Canis lupus familiaris: one gene and its partner. The protein of the gene in region 1 purifies or fractionates together with the protein of each later gene. This does not show direct contact. Links are inferred from orthologs where the notes say so. Each region holds a gene or a part of one and is shown on either strand. Other genes may lie near its edges.

Evidence for each region.
Region 2: the proteins of HNRNPA0 (region 1) and DHX9 purify together in Homo sapiens (affinity purification with mass spectrometry; 3 studies listed by BioGRID and IntAct, with this or other methods). This does not show direct contact. The link is inferred for Canis lupus familiaris from reciprocal best matches to the Homo sapiens genes HNRNPA0 and DHX9.

Annotation. Positions count from the first base shown.
Region 1 is NC_049232.1:25,501,530-25,505,435, reverse strand, and holds HNRNPA0 (heterogeneous nuclear ribonucleoprotein A0), read left to right. Parts: upstream 1-904; 5' UTR 905-1,245; coding exon 1,246-2,178; 3' UTR 2,179-3,762; downstream 3,763-3,906. UniProt on the Homo sapiens protein: mRNA-binding component of ribonucleosomes. Specifically binds AU-rich element (ARE)-containing mRNAs. Involved in post-transcriptional regulation of cytokines mRNAs.
Region 2 is NC_049228.1:16,111,555-16,115,460, forward strand, and holds the start of DHX9 (ATP-dependent RNA helicase A), read left to right. Parts: upstream 1-1,243; 5' UTR 1,244-1,386; intron 1,387-3,906. UniProt on the Homo sapiens protein: Multifunctional ATP-dependent nucleic acid helicase that unwinds DNA and RNA in a 3' to 5' direction and that plays important roles in many processes, such as DNA replication, transcriptional activation, post-transcriptional RNA regulation, mRNA translation and RNA-mediated gene silencing.

The DNA of each region.
Region 1 (3,906 bases):
GCGAGCGTGGGCTTCGGGCCGGAGGGTGGCGGGGGTCTGGCGCCGCGCCTCGATGGGAAGTCGGAGCCGCTGGTGGCACGCCGCCGACCTCCGCCGGGCCTCGGGCTCGCCCCTGCGCGGCACCACGCGCCCGCGCTGCACTTTACCTGAGGCTCGGGCCCCCGGGAAACCGTCAGTAACCGCCTTTCCCGATCAGGCCTCTGCCCTCCATCTTTGTGCGGGCGGGGCGGCCGGGCTGCCAGGTGTAGCGGCCCCGCCGAACCGCGGCGGGGGAGCCCAGGCCCCCAACCCCAACAGTCGAGTTTTCAAAAAGCCCGCGCGTGGCGCGCCCCAGGTCGCATCCGTTGGGAACTGCCCCCGGCGCGCCCCCGCTGACCCCCCCCCGCCCCAAGCCCGGGACCAGGGGCAGCGTCCGGGCGGCAGGCAGGTTCTGCACCCGGGGGGCGCACCGGGGAGCGCGCCCGTCCAGCGGCGGCCGAGACCGGAAGTGGGCGCGAGCGCATCGCGGTGATTGGCTGCAGCCGCACGTCCCTCAAGGGGCTGGCGCGAACGCCACTGCGGAGTGGGGCGAGGGGATACGGCAAGGGGAGGGGGCAGCACGCTGGGAACAGCCGCGGGGCTGGGAGGAGAGGAATTGCGGAGCTGCGCGGGGAGCCGGGGGCGTCCGTGGTCGGGGCACCCGGGGAGCCGGGGCGTGAAGCCCGGCCTACAGAGGCGGCGGCGGGAGCCGCGCAGGCCGAAGGCTTGAATCGACCGCGGAGGGCGGGGAGTCGGTGGCCGAGAGCGGCGCCGCGGCGCGGTAGGCGGGACTAGGGAGAGCGACGCAGGGATTGGCGGGCGGCGCTGGGCGGCCGTACGTCGGCGGTGACGCACGCCTCGGGGAGGGTGCGCGCGCGTTCAGCGGCCTCTTTGTGTGGTGCCCAGATAGGGGAGCGGAGGCGGCGGCGGCGGCGGCGGCGGTGGTGGCGGCGGTGGCGGTAGCGGTAGCGGTAGCGGTGGCGGTAGTGACGGCCTTGGTTGTCTTCCAGTCTCCTCGGCTCGCCCTCTAGCCAGCACCTCTCCCCTTCCCTCCCCCTTCCTCTCTTCCTCCTTCCCTCCCCTTCCCTTCCTCCCTTCCCCGTCGGTGACGGCGGTGGCGGCTCCAGCAACGGCTGGGCCCAAGCTGTGAGGAGGCCTTAGCCAGCGATAACGGCGACGGCGAAACCTCGGAGCTCGCAGGGCGGGGGGAAGGCCCGGGCCGTGGAGATGGAGAATTCCCAGTTGTGCAAGCTGTTCATCGGCGGCCTCAACGTGCAGACGAGTGAGTCGGGCCTGCGCGGCCACTTCGAGGCCTTTGGGACTCTGACGGACTGCGTGGTGGTGGTGAACCCCCAGACCAAGCGCTCCCGTTGCTTCGGCTTCGTGACCTACTCCAACGTGGAGGAGGCCGATGCCGCCATGGCCGCCTCGCCCCACGCCGTGGACGGCAACACGGTGGAGCTGAAGCGGGCGGTGTCCCGGGAGGATTCGGCGCGGCCCGGTGCCCACGCCAAGGTTAAGAAGCTCTTTGTCGGGGGCCTTAAGGGAGACGTGGCGGAGGGCGACCTGATCGAGCACTTCTCGCAGTTCGGCACGGTGGAAAAGGCCGAGATTATTGCCGACAAGCAGTCGGGCAAGAAGCGCGGCTTTGGCTTCGTGTATTTCCAGAATCACGACGCGGCAGACAAGGCCGCGGTTGTCAAGTTCCACCCGATCCAGGGCCATCGCGTGGAGGTGAAGAAGGCCGTGCCCAAGGAGGATATCCACTCCGGTGGGGGCGGAGGCGGCTCGCGGTCCTCCCGGGGCGGCCGGGGCGGCCGGGGCCGCGGCGGGGGTCGAGACCAGAACGGCCTGTCCAAGGGCGGCGGCGGCGGCGGCGGCGGTTACAACAGCTACGGTGGTTACGGCGGCGGCGGCGGCGGCGGTGGCGGCTACAATGCCTACGGAGGCGGCGGAGGCGGTTCGTCCTACGGTGGGAGCGACTACGGTAACGGCTTCGGCGGCTTCGGCAGCTACAGCCAGCACCAGTCCTCCTACGGGCCCATGAAGGGCGGCGGCGGCGGCGGCGGCGGTGGCAGCAGCTGGGGCGGTCGCAGTAACAGTGGACCTTACAGAGGCGGCTACGGCGGTGGCGGTGGTTATGGAGGCAGCTCCTTCTAAAAAGAAATCTAAATATGCCTGGGAGTGGCTATAGGGGTAGCTCTTCTACACCCCAGCTGGGGTAACTCCTACGTTCTTTACTCTCCCACCACCGCCTTCCCCGTTTTGCCCTTGGGGGAGCCGCTTCTAAGGCTGCTTATCCTTGGGGGTGTTGCCCTATTTGCCTGCCACCTCTCTTGTCTCTCCCTCTGAAGATGGACTCGGCCCCACATACACATTTTTGTGTTACAGTCATTGATGGACTCTATTTTTTTATTATTACTTGGACCTTGGTCGTTTTTATACTAGCAAAATGTCTTGTTTTAATTTGTGTTTTTTTTTTTGGGGGGGGAGGGAGTGAACTTGCTGATTCTGTAGCAAAACCTGGGCGGGGGTTGGGGGGGGGTAGTTTACTTTGTTGTAAGGACTTGATATCTGGCTACAGCGTTTTCTATGAAATCTACTTGGATCCCATGCCTGAAATTTGGACACATATGTACAAAAATCATTTTTACGTTTTATTTTTAATAAATCATTGTGTTTGACCGTATATGTCTAACATTTTTTTTCTAGGATCTATTACGTACCGTTTTAAGGGATATTAGTTAAAATTTTTTCGTGTTAATTCTAAATTCTTGATGTGTACTTGAAGACACTTTTAAAAGGTCCTTTGGTGGCTTTTTTTTTTTTTCCTGTTGCTCTTCTAGTGACGTGTTGAGTTTTATCCCTACAGGCAAAACTTTTGAAGTGGTGGATGTAGTTTTTTAAAATCTTCAAAGTTTCTGTGCATCCATCTCATACTAAGCGATTTGCTTATCTTGACATGGTTGGTCACTTCTTTCTATGAGAATTTACTTCAAAGTATGTACTGGTAGTTCAAAAAGAAATAGTTTGTGTTAAGCATGTGTTTTCATTCATATAAACTGTTTAAAATTTTTCAGATGGCCTAGTTTCATCCCTCTTACTGGTTTGTCTGTAATAAATGGTTACAAAGAAGGGTTATATTTTACCCTTAAACTAAATGCATTTTTGTATTTTCAGAGCAGGTTTAAACGTTTTTTCCTATAGCTGAACTGTTGTCCTCTTGGAAATCCTTCCCCCAACCTTTGTAGCACCATCTACTGGCAGAATGGCAGTATCTCTGCAAAAACCATTTGTTTTAAAAACTTGTTTAGGATAATTGCATCAGATTTAGAAATTTTGCCATCAAAGATCTGTGCAGACTTTGGTTACACGTTTACTTGTAACGAAGATGGGCTTTATGGGAATGTAGTTAACAGTCCATATCACAATTGCCCTTTCTACACAAGATTTGAAAATGTAAACTGCTACGCATAGCTTGGGCAGTGGCCCGAAATTGCTATGACAACTAATGAACCAGCTACGTGTACTGGTATCTTAGGTGCAAGTTGTAAAGCAAAGTATTTGTGTATTCTGCTTGGTTAACAAATGTATATTTGTAGCCCTTTCATGCAATAGAATTCAAGTTGTTGTTTATAAAAAAAAACAAAACAAAACAATGATATAGGAGAAAATTGCCTTCCTGGTTAGAAATATAGAATAGCATCGTTTATGGATATCACAAATAAAGAATTCAATTCTTTACATGATTGAGTGAGAGTATGTATAACCTGGTGGGTGGGTTCAGAGTACCTATAATATAGCACACTTGATTTAATGTTACGGTAAAATTTTTAACTTGAATGTTGCGTTCAGAAGCCCAGATGTATAGTAGGAAGCTTTCTGAAG
Region 2 (3,906 bases), on another chromosome or scaffold:
GGCGCAGAGGTTTGGCGCCTGCCTTTGTCCCAGAGCGCGATCCTGGAGACCCGGGATTGAGTCCCACGTCGGGCTCCCGGTGCATGGAGCCTGCTTCTCCCTCTGCCTGTGTCTCTGCCTCTCTCTCTGTGTCTCTCATGAATAAATAAATAAAATCTTTAAAAAAAATAAAATAAAATTTCTATTTGATACTTCATATTTATTCCAGTGTTTTCATCTATTCTCTTGAACATACTAATTGTAATTTTTATAAAGTCTCTGATAATTTCAATATCTGAATCATTTATGATCATAGTTCTATTTTTTCCTCTTGATTTTCAGTCATTTGTTTTGTCTCCTGGCTTGCCTGGGGACTTTTTTTTTTATTGAATTTGGGCGATTCTATAAAAAAATTATAGAAATTATAGGTCATTCTGTCTTCCTCTTCTGGCAGAAAGAGAAAGCTAGAGCACTTTGGTCCAACGAGGAAGTGAGATGATTCAAGGCTGGTTTTCATTCACCTGAGTTTGTCCTTGCTTTTAGAATGTACCCCTGCAGGAGGTATCAGATGAAAGTCTGGGCTCTGTGCCTTGGTGAACTCCAGGTTTTGTCTCTCCAGTACCATGAGGCTCCTGAATGCTCTACCTAGCTTTTAGCCTAGGCAGCTTAGGAATCAGCAAATGCATCAAAGTGAAAAGTGACACAAAAGCTCCGATGTGAAAAAAAAATTTTTTTAAAAAGCTCTCATGTTTCCCTTTCCCCAGGATATTAGCTGCCTTGCCTCTAATGCTTCAAATAGCTGTCTTGTTTTGACTTTTTTTTTTTTTTTTTTTGCTTCAGATTTTGGAGTTGCTTTTGGCAAGAGAATTGGTTTGCTAAAAGCTACTCTATCATACACAGAAGTCATCTCCAAATGCAAGCTCTGTGAGAAAAGGATCTCACATCTGTCTTATTTATGGCTATTTCCTAGTACCAATAGTGCCTAGTACCAAAACAAAACAAAACACCCTTCAATAAACATTGATGTTAATTAATGTAAGAACTAAGCCCTATATCTGTCCTTGACATCTATATCATTTACAGCCCTCCGTATCTATCCAAGGGAGTCTAGGGTAGGTAGCACAGCACGGGAAGAATGGGGTCTGGATCTCCTTGGCAACCGGACGCCACGCGCGGGCACGGTAGCCGCGGCCCCGCCCCTCCCCCCCGGGGCGCCCGCGGCCCCGAGCTCGCTCCCTGCGCATGCGTACGCGCGCTGGCCCCGCCCCCCTGGCGCAGCCGTCGGAGCCATTTTCTCCGCCGCCTCCGCGCAAGCTGCGGTGCGTTAAGCGGGCGTCTCTGAGGGAGGCCGCGGCCACGGAGGGTTCTGAGAGGGCTGCGTTCTCGGACACCGGAAGGCGGACGCCGGTAGGGTAGAGACGTCTTTGCCACCCGTTGTGGGGCGCGGGGCCCCGCGCTCCTGCAGCCGGGCTTTGTTGCGAAGCGCGGGCGGCGGTGGCGGGTGGGGGAAGGGGCGAGGCGCCCGCTGGGTTCCCGGATTACGGGCTGCATGCGGCTCGCCGCGCCTCCCCCCGCCTCCCCCCGCCTCCCCCCGCCTCCCCCCGCCTCCCCCTGCCTCCGCTGCCCGGGCCCGTGCGGCGGACCCGTTACCCCCGCCCCCCCACACACCCTCGTCCGCGGCCCCGAGCCCCACGTTCTCCCGCGGCCTGCACGCCGTGCTTGCTCTTGGCGGGATCGCGGGGCTGGCGAGGCCGCCGTGACGCCGCACACGCCCGAGGCCCTTCATCCATTCATTTCGGCCACAAAGACCGGGCGCTGTCCTGCGGGTGCGGTGGCGGGGCGGTGAGCACGTGGGGGCGCAGTCCCTCCCTCTTCCGCGGGGAGGTTTCGGCGGTGGGAGGAGGCTCCGGCAACACCAGCGTCTGCAGGCTGCGGTCAGAAGCTTGAGAAAATGGAAGGTCGTCGAGGGAGAAGGCTGGTTTCACCCGGGCGGCCGGGGGGAGAGCGGACTTCCCGAGCGGATGAGGTCGAGGATGCGTCAGCTCCGAGATGCGGGATCAGTTAGCGCTTGAGAGCGGGAGTTGGGGAAGAAACGGCGAGGAGGCCCTGTTACCTAGAGCGTATTTTGAAGGGTGAAGAGAATGGATTTCAGGACGGTCAGCGTGAAAAACGGCGATTTAGATACCTAGATCCAGGGCGTGATTGCAGGAGGCCGGGGGGTGCGGCAGTGGTGGCAGCGGACGGACGGACGGACGGACGGACGGACAGACGCGCAGGGGGTGCAAAGCTGGTTTTGGAGGCGGAATGGCGTGTAGGTCAGGAGCCCGCCTGCCGGGCCTGGAAGTCTGGCTCCTCCCAGCTGAGAGAGCTCTTGTCTTCTCTGGGGCGAAGGATTTGGGGATTTTTGTGGGGTTTTTTTGTTTTGTTTTGTTTTTGTCTCAGTTTATTAAACGGGGAGAATAAGTATTCTCATCTGCATAATTATTGTAAGGGTTTAGGAAAAGTCGTTTACGTGTAGATGATCCCCTAAGGCTTTACTGACTGGTGTGCAAACGGAGAGTCCTCCAAGGGATGGCTGTGGAGGGCATTATTAAGGGAGCGTAGGACTCCCAGCTTGTGACGGGGGTAACTTGGCGGTGCCATTTCAGGAGGTGGAAACACTTGGACTGCGGGGAGGAAGGGTCAGGTGTGGAAAGGAAACGTCTGTTTTTACTGAGATGTCAGGTTAGCGTTTGCACATGAGCGCCGTAGTTGGATGATACTTGATTTTGGAGCTTTGAAAAGACTATTTCAATATATGTTTGGGCACGATCAGCATATAGTTGATAATTGAGTATAGTGGCGTTCGTTGAGACTGCCTAAGGAAGGAATTTGATAGTGTAGTCTTTCATATTTCATGGTACTCCTTCACCCTGAGGTTCTTGTTTTTTGGTTTTGTTTTGTTTTTTGTTTGTTTGTTTGTTTTAGTTGATTATTCAGGGGTGGAATTTACAGATGGACATCGGGAGCTTTCCACCGCTTTTCGGTCAATAGGATTTACCCAGGTTAACCTGTGGCTACAGAATAACCTTATACTAGGGTCCAGTTTCATGACGTTAGATTTAGGTGCTAACAAAATGCACTGAACAGAAGAAGTAATAGGGTTTCTTCTCACACACAAACTATTTTTTTTTTTTTGCATATCTTTTCCAGATTAAGTTTGGTCTTAGATATCTTGCCTTTTTTTTTAATACTTATTATTTATTTTGAGAGAGAGCACGCACGCACATATGTGCAATGAGGAGCAGAGGGAGGGGGAAAGAGAATCTCCAGCAGACTCCTTGTTGAGCTCAGAGCCCACCCAGGGCTCTATCCCAAGACCCTGATTGTGGCCCTAGCCGAAATCAAGAGTCAGAGGCTTAATTGAGCCACCCAGGCATCCTTCATATATCTTGCTTTTGATTTAGATTCAGATTTTTTTTTTAAAGATTTTATTTATTTATTCATGAGAGACACAGAGAGAGAGAGAGAGAGAGGCACAGACACGGGAAGAGGGAGAAGCAGGCTCCAAGCAGGGAACCCGACGTAGGACTCGATCCGCAGGACTCAATCCGGGGACTCCATGATCATGGCCTGGGCCAAACGCAGGTGCTCAACTGCTGAGCCACCCAGGCATCCCTAGATTCAGATTTTAGACTCATAGGCTCCATATCATTTGGTGTATTTATAAACTAGTTTAGAGGGAGAGTGCCAACAAGTATGGTATGGTGCATATCAAGAAAACTTAGTATCCTCAAATTATAATGAATAAAAAGGCCTAAAGGAGAGATTGGGTGCTTAACAGATTAGTATTTTTATTATTTTTTAAGATTTTATTTATTTATTCATAGAGACACAGAGAGAGAGAGAGACAGAGACACAGGCAGAGGGAGAAGCTGGCACCATACA